Ovis aries: one gene and its partners. The protein of the gene in region 5 interacts with the protein of the main gene of each other region in a pairwise test. Links are inferred from orthologs where the notes say so. Each region holds a gene or a part of one and is shown on either strand. Other genes may lie near its edges.

Region 1 (4,222 bases), on a different chromosome or scaffold from region 5:
CCACACCGGGGTCTTCCTTCCTGTTACTCCAAAGGCACTGTCTGTGCTTCACCTGGGCACAAGAGTGCCTCTCTTCTCATCTTCCTGAGGCCATGGCTCTAGCAATTCCCTCCCCTGTGGACCCCACATCCATCTAACTCCTCGCCCATCTATCTTATCCTTTTACAGCAAAGTTCCTGAAGAGCGGTCTCTGCTCACTGTCTCTTTCTTTTCCTCGACTCCACCCCTCCACCGGAACAGCTTTTTCTTTTTTACATTTTACTTATTATTTTTGGCTGTGCGTTGGGTCTTCGTTGTGATATGTAGGTTTCTTATTGCACTGGCTTCTCTTGTGGTGGAGCACAGGCTCTAGGGTGTGTGGGCTCAAGTAGCTGTGATGCAAGGCATGTGAAGCTTGCTGGACCAGGGATCGAACCTGTGTCCCCTGCACTACGAGCTCAGAATCTTAACCAGGGAAGTCCCAGAGTGACTCTTGGCTGCACCACCTACAATAGACAACCAGGTTGTCAACCCACAGGTCTAGTCCATCCTCACGATTCAGTCTCTCAGCCGGACCAAAACGGTTGGTCCTTACATTTCAGACACGTTCTCTGGGCTCCAGGTCGCTGCCCTCTCTTGGTTTTTCTCCTACCTTACTAGTTGCTCCTTCTCTATGTCTTTTCCTAGCTCCACCCAGGCTAGAAGGCAAAGGGCTAAGTTCTAAGTTCTCTTCTCCACCTATATTGATTCTCTTGTTGATTCTATCCAATCAGTAGCTTGAACTGCCAAAGGACTCCCAAATTCCAGCCTTGTATGTCCGACTGCCGAATCCACACTGCCATGGGAGAGTCTATTAGGCCTTGCAAATGTAATGTTCCCAACTGAACTCATTGTCTCCCAGCACAGCTGGTCTGGGTAAAAAACTGACCCTGTCACACCCCCAAACCAAACCAGCTGCAATTTATCAGTTTGCCTTCAGACTCTCACCACCTGTACTGCTTCCACTCTGGTCTGCACCACCCTCCTCTCCTTTCCCCCGTGCCCTTTGCCATCAACACTGCAGCCAGAAAGTCTAAAATCTATAAAAAAAATATATATTCAGAGCATGTCACAAGTCTCCATTCTCAGTCACTAGACTTTATATGAGGGGCAGGTCTCCTTATCGCCACCCCACCTCCTGTCACCGCTGCAGGCACCCCGTCCCCCTGACTGTCCCTCAAACACACCAGGCAAGTTTTGGCCTCAGGGCCCTGTGGTTCCTAATGCTTCATAAGCTTTCCTCTTGATCTGTTTAGGGTTTGCTCCCCCTGCAAAAAGCCAATTTTAGGGAAAGAAACTGCTTTAAAATTTTTTTATTTGGCTGTACTGGGTCTTCACTGCAACACGCAGGATCTTTAGTTGGGGCATGCGAACTCTTAGTTGCACCATGTGGGATCTAGTTCCCTTACCAAGGACTGAACCCAGGCCCTCTGCATTGGGAGCTCAGTCTTAGCCACTGGATCACCAGGAAAGTCCCATCTTTAAGTGTTTATTCAAAAGGTACCATCTCAGTTGATGCCTTTCCTGACCATCCTAATTAAGACTGCAACCCTCTCTGGCACACCCCAATCTACACCCTTACTGTATTTTTCTTGTTTTCTACTACATATTTTACTTATCTTTTGCCTGTCTCTCTGACTAGAATGTAAGAATGTCAAATCCGTTACCGCAGGGATTTTTAAAAAATTTATTTACTTATTCTCAGTGTCCAGAACAATACTAAGCAAAGGTACATGTTCAATGAAAGAATGAATGAAAGCAGGTTTTGTATTTGGGTTTCAGGTAATGCCCTAGAGCAGGGTCTGAAGCATTTATGGGGGTGACCCTTAGGCCTATCTCCAGAGGAACATTTCCCTCAGAGGCGTCAGGGAACTGAGTCTAGTTTCAGAGTTGTTTAGCTAGGAAAAGGGGATATTTCCCTAATAGGTAAGAACTGCTCCAATCTTAGGGATATAAGCAGAGTTGTGTATCCCAGCCAAAGGGACATTTACCCAAGAGGTGGGGCTGGGGACATCACCATCCATCTGAGAAGTAACTATTTGGATAAAAGATCTGCCACCGGGCTAGGGAGTACACCAGAAGTGGTGATCTGACAGTCCACTGGGTATTTATGCAAACAAACAGGTTTGCCTCAGCCTGGGATGTATGGACCCAGGGTGCGTGTATGGGAAACCGGAGAGGAATCCAGTCAAGGGAGACCCCGGGGTAAGAATATTTCCCCTATTCTGGAGTATTCATTCTTTAGAAGCGGTCTGCCCTCTCCCATTCTGCGTACTTTAACAATCTTCTCCTTGCTAGTCTGGAGGGAGAGATATATGTCTACCTGCGTATACAGTAGTGTCCACCCAGGCAAGAACTGCACTAGTTCAGGAGAGATTTTTACCAGCTAGCGCGATACATTGTAACCGCCCCCCGCCCCACCAAATAATACAACCTAGTAGTTCCTACCTTGCAGGAAAGAGGCAGAGCCATCAGGCCGGGACAACAAGTTCTGTTCGCAGGCAAAGTGCCGGAGGCTACAGCCGGGGCCCCTAGGGCCGGGCTCTGTCCGAGAATCAGCCCGAATCTTCGATTCAGTCTGCATTGCCCCCTCCATAGCCCCGGAGCCCACGTGCAGCCGGGGCTTGTTGCTTCCTCCCAGAAGCGCGCGCTTGCGTACGAGGTGCGTACGCTGTACGCACGCGCCGACCCGGGGGCTCCAGGAGTGGCGCCCGCACGTGGCTCGGCGTTTACTAACAATCTGGACCCTCCCACTCCCGCCTCGAAAGTCCAGGAAAGCCATTGGACAGAAGAGAAGAGTGGGCGGGCCTTGGCATGAGCTCGTCCTACCCGAGGCCCCCGGCCCTGAAACCCTGAGGCTCTGGACGGGTTGTCCTCTTCTTTGCCGGTTACAGGAATAACTAACGTGAGGCGGTCAGAGTAATTTTGGGAAGTTAGGTGGCTTTATGCACCTACATGTGTGTCCCAGAGGCTGCAGAACTAGTAGCGTATGGTTTCTTGGCAGGGTGTTGCTGGCATTTGAGTCAGGCTTATGAAGGGGCAGCCCCGGTCTCGCCGAGGAGAGGGGCGGATCTCCGAGGGATGGTCAGCCAAGATGGCGGTGGCGGCTGCGGCGGCGAGGGTTTGGAGACCAAGTCGAGGCTTGGGACGGGCGGGCCTCCCGCTCCTGCGGCTGCTTGGGGCTCGTGGGCTGGCTAGATCTGTGAGTACCTGGAGCACCTGAAAGTTTTCTCGAAAGAGGTATAGGAATGTTTATGCAGTCTTCAGAGAGAGGGGGTTCCCTTAGGTCCCTGTAGGAAGTGAAGGAAGGGCTGTGAGAGAAAGGACGAGGGCTGGGAGAACCACTTGGACAGGACATGCAAGGGAATAACTTCCACTTCCTTAGGAGAAGAAAAGCCAGGCAGCTCCTTTGTGACCCTAAGGGAGGGAGAAAACTTGGAGAGAGCGAGGTAGTTACTTAATTGCCGCCCATCCCCAGGGGAGGCCGCTTGGAGAATACGGGAGAAGGGTGTGACCTCTCCCCTCAGGAGCTGGAGAAAATTGTGTTTGTAAGGGAAAGACTTTCTTCTCAATACGGTCTACTTTCAAGGAGGAGGAGAGAGACATCAGTTGCCCTTTCAGGGACTTTTATGGTGCCCCGTGTTTCTTTGCTCCAATTCTGATTTTTAAATAAACTGCGTTAAAAAAAAAATCTTTCTGGGACTTCCCTGGTGGTCCAGTGACTGAGACTCCGCGCTTCCAATGCAGGGGGCCTGGGTTTCATCCCTGATCAGGGAACTAGGTCCCACGTGCCGGCAGTTAAAGAGTTCGTATGCTGCAGCTAAAAATCCTGCATGCCATAACTGCAAGACCCAGTGCAGCCAAATAAATAAAGATAAAATACTTATAAAAAGTCGTGGCGCCTGTGCCTCCGGTATAGAACGGTAGCCAAGGACCTTGTTGGTTTTGGTCACTCTAAGGCGGAGGTGATCAGTGAATATTTGTTGAACTAATGAGGGGAGAGGTCCTGGCAGAGCACTTACTCCATATTTCTGAGAAACAGTGGAGAAATGCCTTGTTTCTTGTCAAAAGGAGCAGACTCCTTTTAGATTGATGCTGCTAATGGCATGCTCGCACAGCAGAAATGTAGATGGGAACCACTATTTAGAGAGACAGAGGCAGGGGACTTGAGAAAAGCTGTGAACTGAGATTTTGCATATAACAG
Region 2 (3,360 bases), on a different chromosome or scaffold from region 5:
CCTAAAAGGGGTTTTAAAACAATGTGCTACACTATGTATTGAAGCCTAAAATCAATAGCACCCCACAGGCACTAAGAGTTAACAGGCAGAACATCTCTGACCATGTTGAGGAAGAACCCCAAAGTTCATGAAAATAGAAATATTGTGTGTCCTGACTTGTACTTGTTGTTCCAGTCTAATTATTAATAGTGTCCCCTTGAAGCTCTCTCAAAATTGTCCCAGTTTGGGATGGTGTGCCACCTGCCTGCTCAGCCACCCCTTACCCATGCCACCTCAGAAGCACCAGAGAACACTCCCTTCACCAGGGCTATAAGAAAGGCATCAGTGGGGGTAGTACCAGTTTCCCCATAAAGCCCTGTAGTAACTGTCCTCTGGAGTTTAGTCGTGACAGTGGGGAGTACAGAGATTGAAAGTTGAATGAGATTCCCTGATGCCAGTGGGAATAATGAGTCAGGGTGAAAGTGGCAAAGGCCAATGATAGCCCTTAACCATGAAAAGACACTTGCTGTTGTTGTTTTTTTTTTTTTTTTTTGGTAGTGCTTGAAATTTATTGAAAAGAATGCAAATGCTTTTTCCAGGTAGCATTGAGGAGCTGGGCTGAGTACTTGCTTTTGTTTGTATTGTTCGGTTTTTAGTATTTTTGTCCAAATGCACACCTCGATGGGACTGCTGCAATTTTGAAATGAAGATGACGGGTGTGCAAAACTGATGCATAGGAGAAATGTCAACAATTGGGTTGCCAGGCACAATGGGCCCCTGCAGCAATCTGGTGGGCCAGGAGGAAGACCTGGAGTTAGTAGGGAACAATTAATCAAGTTGAAAGATTAGCCCCTGGGGAGGGGGGTGGAGTTGTTGGTGAGCAGTCCAAATCAGTGTCCCAGGAGGTGTAGCCCACAAAGGCATCTTCTAGATTGTTCCTGATCTCCAAAGGCCGGGTCTATCGCTGGAATCTGGTGGAGGGTGCTTGGGTGGCAGCGCAGGTCGCTGGGCAGAGGTGCAGGCCTGACAGTCAGCAAGGCAGAGTATAGGCTGACCGGTTTGTAAGAGGGGCTTGCCCTAGAGCTGGGGCTCAGAACACAGTTCTAACGAGCAGTGAGGGTCCTGGGGCTGGCCAGAGTGGGCAGCAGAGTGCACTTCAGAGACGCCCCAGCCTCAGCAGCAGGTGACTAGAGAGCACTATGCCTGGAACAAAGACAAGCACTACGGCAGAGAGTGGAGGGTGAGGAAGACAACCAGAGGGGAGGGAAAGGCCAGGGGATCACAGCGTTAGGGGAGCGCGGTGGCTCCGGGCGGGGCGAGGCGGGGAGGCAGCGGGGGTGGCGGAGGGCAGTGCCCTTCCCCCTCTAGGCCCGAGGGTCTCCGGGCCTAATACTCATCTTCTTCATCTTCGTCTTCGTCTTCTTCGTCGTCATCCCAGCCAAAACACTGTTTCATCTCATCGAGGAAGGCCCGGTAATCGCCCAGGATGGGGCTATCCATCTCAATGTAGGGCACCACCCACTCCTCGGCTTCCCCGGTGAGCAGGCTGATCAGGAATGCCACCTTCATGGCGTCGTTGCAGAATCGGTTCTCGTTGACGAGCATGTAAGACGCCGTCTGCACGATAAACTCGGGGAGCCGGGAGCTCTCGCCGTCAAACGTTTCGGGGAAGGGCACAGGGCAGCTCGGCGGACGTACCTGGCGCAGCAGGGTGGCCCTCTCGCACACCAGCAGCCGAAGCTGTTCCATGAGCTGGCTGTTCTCGATGCTAAGGGCGCGGTGCCGCATCAGAAGCGCGTGCAGCAGCAGGACCAGCTCATCCACCATGGCGAACAGCTTGGAAAGGCAGGGCAGGGCGCAGCTCGATTCGGCTAGGCTAAGGTGCTCTCGGAGGCCTCGCAGGAAGTGCGTGTCAGAGGAGACGCGCGGTGGCTAGGAGCGAGGGGCGGTGCGCGCAGGGGTCCCGGCGGCGGCGCAAGCTCCGCCCACACAGCCGAGCTGACGGCCCCGCTCAGGCACCGCCCGGCTGGAGGGGGCGGGGCCGGGGAAGGCAAGGGGCGGGGCCGGGGAAGGCAAGGGGCGGGGCCGGGGAAGGCAAGGGGCGGGGCCGGGGTGGCCCGGACTAGGGCTCGGCGTCCGCGCTCGCAGGTCCGGGGGCCGCTGGATAAAGGCGAAGACCCAACCTTGGATGTGGGTCGGGCCGTAGCCTGGACCGTGCAAGCGCAAAAGACCCATCTCTCAGAGAGGTTCAACCTGCTCAGGTTTAAAGGACTCACCACCCTTCAGCCAAGCCGACTCATACATCTCGGTGTTCCTTGGAGGGCCAGTAGCCCCTGGGTTCCCTCTGAGTGGTTTTAACACATTTCTTGGCTTATGAAATCTCCCTCACCCAAAGAACCGTTAGCAGTGCTGGCTGCACGCCAGCGTCACACCCTGTAAGAGTTATGAAAGACCCTCAGGGGTCCTGTCTTTCATGACAAAGCGATATTTAAAAGGGATTTTTCTTTGGTTGGAAAATAGTATTGTGTACTTCTATCCCTTTGTTTAAAATTATTTTTGTAAATAGCAAAGTGTAAAAAGTTCTGCAAAATTTAGCATCCAATCACCATTTGCAGGAGTCCTGCCTATCTTTGACTCTATTTCTGTCCTAATGTTAGTGTCCCTTGACTACTGGGTATTTATCCCCTGCTTAACAATAAACACTTGTGTTTTAAAAATGGCTTTGCTTTTCTACTTTGAATGCGATTATTCAAATAGTTGACAAATGAGTTGGGGAGACAGCCTCTGGGCCACCACATTCTGTTGGAACACCTTTTAAAATATATTCCCAGTCGAATCACTTCTTGTTACTTCTACCAATACCACCCTGGTCCCAGCCCTCCTTTCTCACACAGGCTGTTGAAACTAACCACTTAACTTCCATTCTTCTCTTCCTATAGTGTATGTATTCCCCAGAGTAAGGACAGGACTCCTTTAGAACAAAAGTTAGATCACTTCCCCTCCCTGCTGTAAACCCTCCAATAGTTTTCCCTTATCAGTCAAAAGAAAAACCAAAGTCTTGGTAATGGCCTACCAGGCCCTACCTCATCTGCGCCTCCTCTCAGTTCCTGCTGTGCTCTAACCACATTGTTCTCTCTGCTGATTCTTGCACACAAGTAGCTCTGGCCCCAGGACCTTTGTACTTTCTATTTTTCCTGCCTTGGAAGGCTCTCTCCTCATTTGACTGCCTGACTCTTTCTCCCTCGGGTTTCAAAGAGGACTTTCCTAACCACTTCACCTATCAGAGCACCCCATTCTCTGCCAGTAATCTCTAACCCCTTGCCTCACTTCATTTCTCTGCACAGCATTTATCACACCAGTAGCCATTATATCATACAGCAC
Region 3 (3,972 bases), on a different chromosome or scaffold from region 5:
TGTATAGGTTCTTTGGAAGTCTGGGAAAACATTTTTTTGCTTGAGAAATGTCATCCCTTTTACTTGTTTTTACAAATTTGGACTCTGTCCTAAATCTGTCTGAAGTTTTTCTGCTCTAAAACATTTGGAGTCTCCTGGTCTAGAAACCTGAGACCTATTTAGAATGAATATGTATTAGAAAATTAAAACATAGATTATTGTAATTTATATTTTTCAGTGAACAGACTTTTCAGTTATATTTCTGTTCCTAATGATGTTTTCTGTAGCCTAATACCAAAATGACATTGAGGTGATTGAACACACTACTAATAGGGTGGGGAAGTGATCAAGAGTTAAAATTTTATGCTAAAAATGGCCAATTTAGAGCACAGGGTTCACACTCACACCAGGTCTTGGTGCCTTTAAAGGCTGCACTAAGCATGATGTAATGACAGGTTAAACCTCTGAATGCCTGAGCTGACGCAATGCAGATTGGAGGCCCTGGACTTTACTGGGGCAAGGGTAATGCTTATTTAAAAACAAAACAAGCTACTCTGTTTAATGAGGCCGTTTAAGATGGTTTTCCTAGAGTGGGAAGAGAATAAAATCTAAATTTGAGGGTTAAAGCAGGAGTTTAATATGGTTATGTGTGCTTAGTACTCTCACTACAAAATCTCGAAGGGAGAAGGAGTTTAAGGTGCAGATGGTGGTAAAAATGGAGAAGCGAGTTACAGTTGTGGAGATAAGGTAGTTAACGCCCGTCAAATAGTTATTGAACGAAGTACGGAGAATGCTTTTACTTTGTAAAAATCTAGCGTCCGCAGGGTTAACTGGCAGAATATAGTGCAGAGATGCTTGTCTGGTCGCGTATTTCCCATATATTCTGTGTAGACCTTTGGGTTGAAACCATGCAAAATTGCCCATATCCGACTGTTTGGGCCTACAGAAATGGAGTTCAGCCTTCTAGTAAGCTGATGGCTTGCGCAGTATCGCCGGGGAGTGAGGATCGGGGGGGTTTTACGCCGGGTTTTACTCGGCTGGGTGCCTGGGTGGGAGTTGCACGCTCCTTGCCCAGGAGCCGCTTGGGAGCTGCCCCAGACGGAGTGGGGCGGAGCCTTAAGCCCCGCCCCCGCACGCCGCCCCGCCTCTCGCCATCCGCGGCAGCCGCCGCCCTGTGCAGAGAGAGCCTGCGGCCCCCTGGCACTGCGTTGGCGCAGGCTTCCCTCCTGCGGGCCGGATCCTGCAGTAGTAGCTTGAGCTGGCACCGAGAGCGCACGTAGTCGACCAGTGGCCTCTACGCACCCTTCTGCCCTGTTCTTCACCGAGCTGGCAGGAGCCTAGCCGATGAATTTGGGGAAGACAGACTTCCGAGACAGACGAAGGTTTAGGGCCCAGCAGAGGACAGCTCAGCAATGGCTCCCATTTTTGGAGACGCAGGCAAATTTCAGCTCCTGGGGAGGTGTGGTCGACTCCTCTTGGAACAGGAGGGGGCATCAGTTCTCTTCTTCAGTAGCCAGTGCTTCTGAGGAGTGAATGGAGTGTATGGAGTAGGGCATGTGCCTTCTTTTGAAAACTAGACCCGGGACATGTTTAGTAACAGAAGATATCCAGGAGAGCCCTCCGTTGCAAGTTGTCTTTGCTTCTGGGGGAAAGGCTATGAGCTCTCTGACTTATGACCGGGAAGTCTCCCTTACCTTTTCTGTACTCCTGGAGAGGCATCTTGCTCACTTGTTTACCAGCATCTGGGACAAGGAAGAGAAAAGGTACTGCTATTAAGAGACTGTGTTGCTTAAACTGTGGAACGGGAAAGTTGTTTTGAGCCTCTGAAACGGACCAGGGAATTGCTGCAACAAAATTGAGCAGGCAGTGATTTCTTTTGATCAGCTGTGCTTTTCTCAGTTTAAACCAAACTTCGGGTTATGTCATGACTGCTGCAGAGCTGTCCAGACACTTAAGTCCTTGGTTCCTACTGCACGGCTGCTGTGCTGTGTGTGGATTACTTTTCTGTGTAAGATGGACTGAGTTCCGCCTGCCGAACTTTGGGAAGTTTTAGCAGCTACTGTCCTGTAATACTTAAATTCACCAGAAATTGAAGCCATATTTTGCTTGTTTTCACACTTTGAATAGTAATTTTAAGTTGTGCTTTGTATGTTTGGGAAAATAATGATGTATATTATAATGTGAATCTGGACTATTGATAAATGTATAACTTTTTCTAGGTCACAAAATTAAACAGTAATATTTTTCTTGCTTAGTAGTTATATTATGTTGAATACAAACTGAGTTTAGTGACCAGCTGGTTTTGGTTTAGTGATTTGAAAGGAATCAGCTTAGATTTTGTGCCCAGGGAATTACTTCCCAGTTACTATGTTGCTCTCTTAAATGAGCCGCATAAAATGGACCATGAAATAAGCATACATACGGGACACTTCAGCAATGCTAAGCCATTGTTTTACTAGTGACCTAAAATAAAATGCATGGATCATCATATGCAGAAAAAATCTCAGAGGTAAACTGGATTTCATGAAAGTTCCTTTATAGTGTTTTTGTTGGGCTGAACACTGGTTATACAGGGCTTCAGTGATGAGAGTTGATTCCTGTTGTCTTAAATCTATGCGATGAGCCATGTTATGATAGAATCCTTGTGATACTTTTGTTTCCCCGTGAACTCTAGAATATTCCTTTAGTGACAGTGGAATTGACCTATTTTGGGGTTTCCTGGGGGAGAGGGTTCACTCTCAACCCCCATTTAAGGTGTCTGTCCTTGAGTAATCTGCGAGTGTGTGCTTGTGCTCAGTCGATCAGTACCTGGGGTCTGACTCTTTGTGACTCCGTGGACTGTAGCCCACCAGGCTCCTTGGTCGATGGGAATTTCCCAGGTGAGAATACTGGAGTGAGTTGCGATTTCCTCCTCCAGGGGACCTTTCCGACCCAGGGATCGGTACTGTGTCTTCTGCCTTGGCTGGTGGCTTCTTTACCACCGAGCCACCTGGGATGCCCTGTCTATGAGTAATAGAATCCAAATTGCATTTATGTGGTCTCATTGATAACCAGCATTAGTTTTTCAACGTTGAATTCTAACAGAATAACAATTATAATTAAGGAAACATTAACTTTTAGGAGTTGTTAAATTTTGATTTTGTAGAGATATGGCTTGTGGTTATTGAGTATATACTCTTAGGACATTAATGGACTGATTTTTTGTCATCCCCAAGAAAGCAGTGCACTACATCCTGGGAAAAGGCGCTTGTTTTATCTTTAATTCAGCTTGACAGGTTAGTTAACGTTGTTGATCATTTTTTCCAGATGGCATTTATTTCTTAAATAATGTTTAGTACTGTGCTGATGAATGCTTCAGCAACTCTGGTGAACTCTATAATAGAATATAAGGAATTCTTTACCTGTTGACTCTGTCCCTCACCCCTAATGTTGTGTCTTTCTGATACTGTTTATTCTTTATCTTTTCCTGACTTTCCTTCCTCTTTGCAAATTATACCAGATTTATATTGTAGAGCGGAAGTAGAGCAGAATGATTTAGTTCTGAATACCAGACTCATACCTTTTAGAGGGTGGTCCTCTATTTCTCCTATATGCTTCCTCACTTTTGAAGGGGGCCACAGATGGGTAGGAAATAAGATGAAGATCTAGCTGGGGTTAACATTCCATGGAGATGGATGATGGGATGGCAGGAGACCTTCCCTTCCCCAGATAGATCTCTTTAGCAGATAATATTCACCCTTAGAAAGAGTAATCAGAAGCCAGTACCCTGGTGATCCTTTGGATCATGTATAACTCACTGAGGCTGTCAACAGCTGACTTAAGAATGGGGAAGAAATAGAATGAGCAGGGCAGTTGAACACAGGCAGGGGAAATTCCAGTCAGAACTGATTTCATTGAACTTAAACTGTTTATACAGTGTTCCTTAGTGGTTTAGGATCCAGGTTTCTGTTCTAGCGTTTATTCCATGTAGTCCATTCAAGGATGAGTTTTTAA
Region 4 (3,517 bases), on a different chromosome or scaffold from region 5:
AAACCAGTGACAAGTCTGTACTTAAGCTAGGAAATCAGATACACCTGACAGGCCAAAAATACTTCTGCTGTTAAGGGGTGCTTTTCTCAGGGTCCCTGTGACATTCCAAAGGTAAGTATTCTCTCAAATACTCTCCTTACACTAAGTCATTTGAACACACAGGGAACTTCCTGTGGTTTTAAGCAGACCAACAGATGTTTTTGTTTAGTAAAGAAATTTAATTTTACTTAAAGAGATTGACTGTGGAAGCTCATTTAGCAAGAAGGAACTACAAACCCTCTTTAAATTTCTGCAACTTAAGTGAGACAGTATCAAAATTCTCAGCACAAGTAAAAGACTTTGGAATATGTTATAAAACCAGTGAAATACTGAAGAAGCAGGGATAAAACATACAGGAATTTTAAAAAGATTTAGGGTAGTCTTCCTATTCTAGAATAGTCTTCCTGTTCTAGCAGATAAAATTATATATGCTATACATGTAGCTGTCAAAATTTATGAGTTATATGTTTAATATTCACATGTCTAATTCTGTTTTAGGCAAGCTACCTACAGTTGCTAAGTACAGGCTGTCAATCACTGTCTTCATTATGCCTTTTCAATTATGTAAACTTTTCATTTAAATGAGCAAGTTAAGTCCCACTTTCAAACAGAATTAAACAAACCAAAGATTTTTCTGGACAATTACTTCTCATTAATCACCTGGCAGGAGGCCTTCCCCACCAAGAAACTACTGACTGAGGGACTGAGACAGGCACTCTCCATGGTGGCAGGACACACACACTGCACAAACACTTCTGTGCACCTTCTCCAGGAGCGCACAGCCCTCATTCCAGTGTCACCAGCTTATAATGACTTATCCTTGGAGGGTGGATGAATTCAGAACCATGAGCAGGCGCCTCACCTTATGCGAGCTGGGTCTACTGTAAGGCAACGTCTGTGCGTGGTGCTGGCTGCTGCTCTGAGTTCCTGCTTCTCGGACAGTGCTTCCAGGCTGGGGTTTCCCTGGTCTGGCAATTGTTAAACTCACCCTCTCTCCGCTGGCCTGGAGGAAATACAGACACAGCCACCAGTCATTACCGATGTTTCTCATTTCGCAGAGCACAAGTACTTCCCATCACTGCGCCAGCGCCTTGCCTGGGGTGGCTGCAAGTGCCTGGTGGTAGGAGGAAGGGAGCTGGTCTTGTGAGCTTGTGGTTCAAGGTGTCTGCCGCTGAAATACACACACAGCTCTTGGACAGACCCTCCCCAGACCTCCCTCCCCAACAACCCAGGCAGAGCAGTCCACCTCCCCAAGAAGGTGTTCTTCCTCCCCAGGACTTCTTGAAGGGTAACTTTCTTTTAAAATGAAAACAAAACATGCAAGTCTGTCAATAGGAGATGACGGAGTCAACCAGCTGGTGAAGATCAGGACACAGTTCTACACTTCCTTTCATAGTTAGGATGTTCACAACATACTGCAGACACAAAGCTGCAAATTCAGAACTTACAAGGTAAGTGCATGTGTTGCATAAATGTGTGTCTGTCTGTGGACATATACACTCAGGAGTTTGTAAGGATGTTCTCCAAACAATGTTGACATCGCTTGCAGTGTTTAGTGCAAATTCAATTTTAACATATTTTCAATATTTTATCTTTGGTATTTTATTTCCATTTTAGACACAGAATCTATTTTTACAATCCTCAATAAGATTAATGAAAGTGAAAGTTGCTCAGTTGTGTCTGACTCTTTGTGACCACACGAACTGTAGCCTGCCAGGCTCCTCTGCCCATGGAATTCTCCAGGGGATCTTGCCAACCCAGGGGTCAAACCCATTCATTTTTCTCAAAAAGAAACTTAAATTGAGCAACTTGAGTTTTCTATGCCTTGGGGGAAAAAAATCACAACACAAAATATGATGTAACTATTTAAATTATAAAAATCCAAATAAATGTATTACTGATGAAAAATTTTAAGTGTGTTTTCTACCTGTGTAACTATATTTTCCACATTTTGGTTAGAAATTTAGAACACTGCCTGAGACACAGTCAATATATATTGCTCTCTTCTTGGCTATCTTACTGACTTCTCACTTCAAAAAGCCTATGCAACTCACTCATTTCCTTTAACAAATTTCCAAACTGGGTTAACTTCCCCCCCACACACAAGATAAACTGTTCTCAGCAGTGCAGCAGCTGATGCAACCCACAGGTATAGCCCCTGGTGCCCTGAGTGCTGCCTCTGATGTGAGGGAATGTCAAGGCATTCGATTTCTTTAAGCTTGAAGTCTATGAAATAAGACCAATGCCTGAAATTCCTCTCAGTGCAGTATGGCTTTGAGTGTTTCCTGAAGGCTACATTTACCAAAAAGTGAAAAAAAAAAAAAAAAAAAAGGCGGGGGGGAGTAGGTCAAAGGGGGAGCAAAACCTGGGTTTTCTTAGTCTTAAAACCTCACGGTTATTTGATTCTATGTACATATACATATTTCATGACTATCAACCTATCTTAATTTCAGATATTCAATTAACAGATGCTTGGTTTCCACTGCAATATGTGTTGTGCCTCCTTAAGAAAACCCATTTTGCTTTACCTTTCTGTAAGGCTGTGGGAAGCCCCCTCCCTTCCCCACTCCCCCTCAGATGCCATGGCATCCTAGAACCTAAAGATCGTCTCTGGTTTTTAACTCATCTGTTTTGATGCTGTTACTGAAAATACATTTCTTTTCTCTAATAATGACAACCTACTTCCAGAGAATATTATATTTTTTTAAAAAGGCACTATAGAGATACTCTGAATAGTAAGTTACCTTCCCCTATTTTTATGGACTGAGAAGTGCAGGGGAGTGGAGAGACCAGGTGAGTCGCACCTTCGGTGACTACAGCCCCTGGGGTCTTGCTGCTCCCACAAGTCCACATGTGAAGTGTGGACACCACCACCGGCCACCTGCACCAAAGGGCCTTTAGAAACAGCCCACCTAGAAGGTCATGGGGGTGTAGATCAGCTGGGAAGAGGCAGGACTAGCATGGATTAGACAGTATGGAAGAATTTAGGTGGCCTGGCTGGATGGTGAGGTGACGTTGCACCACCCCGGACCAATCACTGTTACCTGCTGTTGGGAACGCACATTGAGCTCCAAGGGGAGACTGGGCAAGCGCAGTGGGCGCGGGCAGGGCTCACCTGGATGATCTGGGCGGCCAGCTCAGGCGTCCCGTGCTTCAGGTCGTGGCCATTGATAGCCAGCACCCGGTCGTTGCTGCTCAGCCGACCATCCTGGGCCGCCAGCCCCCCTTCCAACAGGTCAAGGATGAAGACCCCCGGCTCGTCGGTTCTGCGCACGAGTTTGATGCCTAGCTGCTCAGCAGAGTCCCGCTTGTGCAGCACCACTGGGAAGACTTCCTCCCGGGGCGCGCTGCCCTCGGGGTGGCCGTGCGCGCGGCTTCCGAAGCGCCTCTCGCGAAGCACGGTGAGCTGCAGAGTGCTGCAGGGCTGCGACAGCACGGCCCGGGCATAGTTGTGTGACACACTGCTGATGTTGTAGTT
Region 5 (3,034 bases):
GGTTTGCTGGGAAGTAAACTTGTTACGAATTTTAATTAGGTTGGCAGTTAAGGTGGAAAAGCAGAGATAATTTGTTGGTAAATATTTTGTTGCTCCCACCAAACAGTGGAGGTCAGTGGGTGCTTTGAGATGGGTGTCAGTCCAGGGTGGCCCTGACCTTCTGTAACCATTTCAGAGGAAAGCCTGTGCTCAGGTTGGTCTGAAGGTGCAGTGGCCCAATGTAGCACACAGTCACTGATGAGAAGCTGAACAGGAGTTCATTTTGAGGGTAGAGATCCTGAAGGGCAGGATGCCTATTCACAGGGTGCTGTAAGAAGGAGGCGGCGGTGGCGGCGGGGGTGGCGGCGGCGGCGGCTGAGGCGGCGGGTACTGGGGCCCTGGCGGCTGGCGGTACCAATGGGGATTCCAGGTGATCACCACGGGGACATAGAGGGATCGCCCGTGTCCATCTCGCCCCACGGGGTACCAGGCGAATCCTACCGGGTAGGTCGGGTACGCGGCATAGGCGGGATAGGTCGGATATCCTGGAATTTGAGGTACGAATTCAGTGTACGTTGCCAGGTGAGCTTGGTCATCTAAATTTGGAATCGTGAGTCGAGGATACTGATTCTGGATGGTGACGCCGTTGGGACCCCGGCAGTCGTAAGAAACTTGCAGCTTCCACCCTCTCTTCACTTGGAGAACTTGGGCTCCGTTCGGCGCGATGGTGGGAGTGATCAGCCCATCCTTCACGTGTCTGGCAATGAAATCTCGCAAGGCTGCCATTTCAGACTCCGACAGTGAGTACACGTGCCCGCTGGGAATGCTGTGTGCTCCGGGGATCATCTCTATGTTAGGGTCCACCAGACGGTTGTCTGGGTAGACGTTCTCATCCACTGGGGTGTACACATTCTGCACGTAGTAGTATCTCACAGGCTGGTAAACTCTGTACCCCTCTACTGGGTAGTAGAACACGGGTTGCGCTGGTGGCGGGAGAAGTGGTGGTATTGGAGAGTACATCCGGCAGTGGTATCTGCAGTATTCGGAATCGAAGACGATCGATCGGGTGCTCCACGTGATGTTGGGATCGTGTGTGCTCAGCCAGCGCACCCCCAGGACGATGGGGAAGAACGGGGACTGAGTCACATCGAACGACAGCACCTCGCGGTGATCTCCCAAGTCGACGATCAGGTCATGAGTTTCGTGGACCACTGGGCCCGATGCTATGGGACGTCCATCAATTGCTTCTACAAGTATGGGCCAGTCCTTGATTCTCAGAGGAATGCCGTTCTGGGCCACGTACTCGTGATCAATGAAATTGCCAGAAGCGCCAGAATCGATCATGGCTCGGACGAACAGGCTGTGTCGGCCCGGGAGATGAATCTGGAGCATCACTTGCAAGTGTGGAGATGACGCAGCATCATCTTGGGGGGACCTTATTAATTCCGGCCCGGTCGCTGAAGGTCCCTCTACAGCGGGGCCGGGGAGTTTCCCGCCGGCGAAGCCTTCGAGGCCTTGGCAGGACAGTTGTCAGCGTAGTGGCCTCCATTCCCACAGTAGAGGCACAGGTTCAGCTTGCGACGTCGCTCTTTCTCTTCCTGCGTCAGGCGCATGCGGGCGCCCCCCACGGGCTCGGTCGGGTCTGCCTGGTGGTGGTGGTGATTGTTGACTTGCGAGGCCACCAGCGCACGCGGCGGGGATCGCGGCTTGCGGGCAGCGGCCGCCCGGGCCAGCCTTCTCTCAATGTGGATGCACTGGCTGATCAGCGCCGACAGCGTCTTGGCCACTTCGAGGTGCGCCAGCTCCGCCTGGATGTGGTCGCTGAGGCCCTCGTGGTACTGGTCGATCAGGGCGGGCTCGTTCCAATCCAGGTCCTGCGCGATCATCTGGAAAGCATTAGAGTAGTCGACCACCGACCCCATTCCCTGGCGCAGACGTCTGATCTTGCGTTTGGCGGCCTCGCGCCGCTGGGGGTCTTCGAAGACGTGCTTCATTTCGGTCATGAAGGCTGGGTAGTTGTGCATCAGGTAGTGAGAACGCTCCAGTTTGGCCGAGGCCCAGCGGGCGGCGCGGCCCGTCATCATGCTGGTCACGAAGCAGACACGCACGCGATCGACAGAGAAATCGCGGGTGCTCTTCTCCATAAAGAGCTGGCACTGGGACATGAAGGGAACCAGCATGTCTGGGTTGCCGTCAAACTTCTCAGGAAGGTCTTCCGGGCACTCCTCTTCTATAGGGGTGGCTGGGGCGGCAGCGGCGGCCGCGCCGCACAGCTCAATGTCGTCCTCTTCCTCCTCGGCGGCGGGCTCCACTTGCTCGCGGAGGGTGGTGTTCTCCTCGGTGAGTTTCTGCACCTGATTGTGCAGGTTGTTGTTCTCCTCGGACTGCTTCATGACCCTCTCTCTGAGGTTGTTGATCTCTTCCGAGAGATCCTCCCGCCGGCGTTCCCCCAGGTTGGGGTTGTACTGGCCCCTCTGGCTGCTGCAGGGGGAATGGGAGGGGGAGGAAGGATCGTTGGGGGGAGGAGGAGGCGGAGGTGGTGGGCAGTCGGGCCCCAGGGTGATGGTTGGGGTGGGAGGAGACCTCCCAGGCGTGGTAGCTTCACTCCTGTGGGAATGGAGGCCTGTGTCCTGGCCTCCGCGTCCACCTTTTCGCCTTCTGGTTTTCAGAAGCTTTCTGTTTCTGTAAGTGAAGATAAAAGCATAAATTCAACACATACATTCAAAGCACCACAATAGGAAGTATCTGCTAAAGTACTTTAAATACATGAGTATTTAAAGTATCTCTTTATTCCCCTTGTTTACATCAATAGTTAATAAACAGACCAAAGCCCCACAAAAAAGATGTTAATCAATTAGGACTGTGGACAATGAAAAGAATCCTCTTTGATGTCCAAATGATCCTTTCCTCCTCAAGAATCACCTGTTCATCATAATTTAACAATATGCAACTCTTATAAGCAGCATGGTTACCTTTACTGACTAATAAATAATGTAGAGATACTCCAAATAAGAACCTTTATAAGCAGAGCAAGAAACCTTCAAGGCAAAGATTG

What was found.
Region 1: the proteins of PEG10 (region 5) and EXOSC5 interact in binary tests that used the Homo sapiens proteins (3 or more experiments, as listed by UniProt). The link is inferred for Ovis aries from reciprocal best matches to the Homo sapiens genes PEG10 and EXOSC5.
Region 2: the proteins of PEG10 (region 5) and LDOC1 interact in binary tests that used the Homo sapiens proteins (3 or more experiments, as listed by UniProt). The two-hybrid records come from large-scale screens. The link is inferred for Ovis aries from reciprocal best matches to the Homo sapiens genes PEG10 and LDOC1.
Region 3: the proteins of PEG10 (region 5) and SIAH1 interact in binary tests that used the Homo sapiens proteins (3 or more experiments, as listed by UniProt). The link is inferred for Ovis aries from reciprocal best matches to the Homo sapiens genes PEG10 and SIAH1.
Region 4: the proteins of PEG10 (region 5) and LNX2 interact in binary tests that used the Homo sapiens proteins (3 or more experiments, as listed by UniProt). The link is inferred for Ovis aries from reciprocal best matches to the Homo sapiens genes PEG10 and LNX2.

Annotation. Positions count from the first base shown.
Region 1 is NC_056067.1:50,093,139-50,097,360, forward strand, and holds the start of EXOSC5 (exosome complex component RRP46), read right to left. Parts: upstream 2,802-4,222; 5' UTR 2,801-2,801; coding exon 2,467-2,800; intron 1-2,466. Other genes in the region: BCKDHA (2-oxoisovalerate dehydrogenase subunit alpha, mitochondrial), read left to right, coding at 3,113-3,220. UniProt on the Homo sapiens protein: Non-catalytic component of the RNA exosome complex which has 3'->5' exoribonuclease activity and participates in a multitude of cellular RNA processing and degradation events.
Region 2 is NC_056080.1:94,166,918-94,170,277, forward strand, and holds LDOC1 (protein LDOC1), read right to left. Parts: upstream 1,889-3,360; 5' UTR 1,807-1,888; coding exon 1,366-1,806; 3' UTR 509-1,365; downstream 1-508. UniProt on the Homo sapiens protein: May have an important role in the development and/or progression of some cancers.
Region 3 is NC_056067.1:16,329,732-16,333,703, reverse strand, and holds the start of SIAH1 (E3 ubiquitin-protein ligase SIAH1), read left to right. Parts: upstream 1-1,155; 5' UTR 1,156-1,651; coding exon 1,652-1,742; exon of another isoform or gene 1,743-2,488; intron 2,489-3,194; exon of another isoform or gene 3,195-3,254; intron 3,255-3,972. UniProt on the Homo sapiens protein: E3 ubiquitin-protein ligase that mediates ubiquitination and subsequent proteasomal degradation of target proteins.
Region 4 is NC_056063.1:32,661,738-32,665,254, reverse strand, and holds part of LNX2 (ligand of Numb protein X 2), read right to left. Parts: coding exon 3,155-3,517; intron 1,043-3,154; coding exon 902-1,042; intron 1-901.
Region 5 is NC_056057.1:12,839,518-12,842,551, reverse strand, and holds the end of PEG10 (retrotransposon-derived protein PEG10), read right to left. Parts: intron 2,662-3,034; coding exon 1,449-2,661; 3' UTR 512-1,448; downstream 1-511.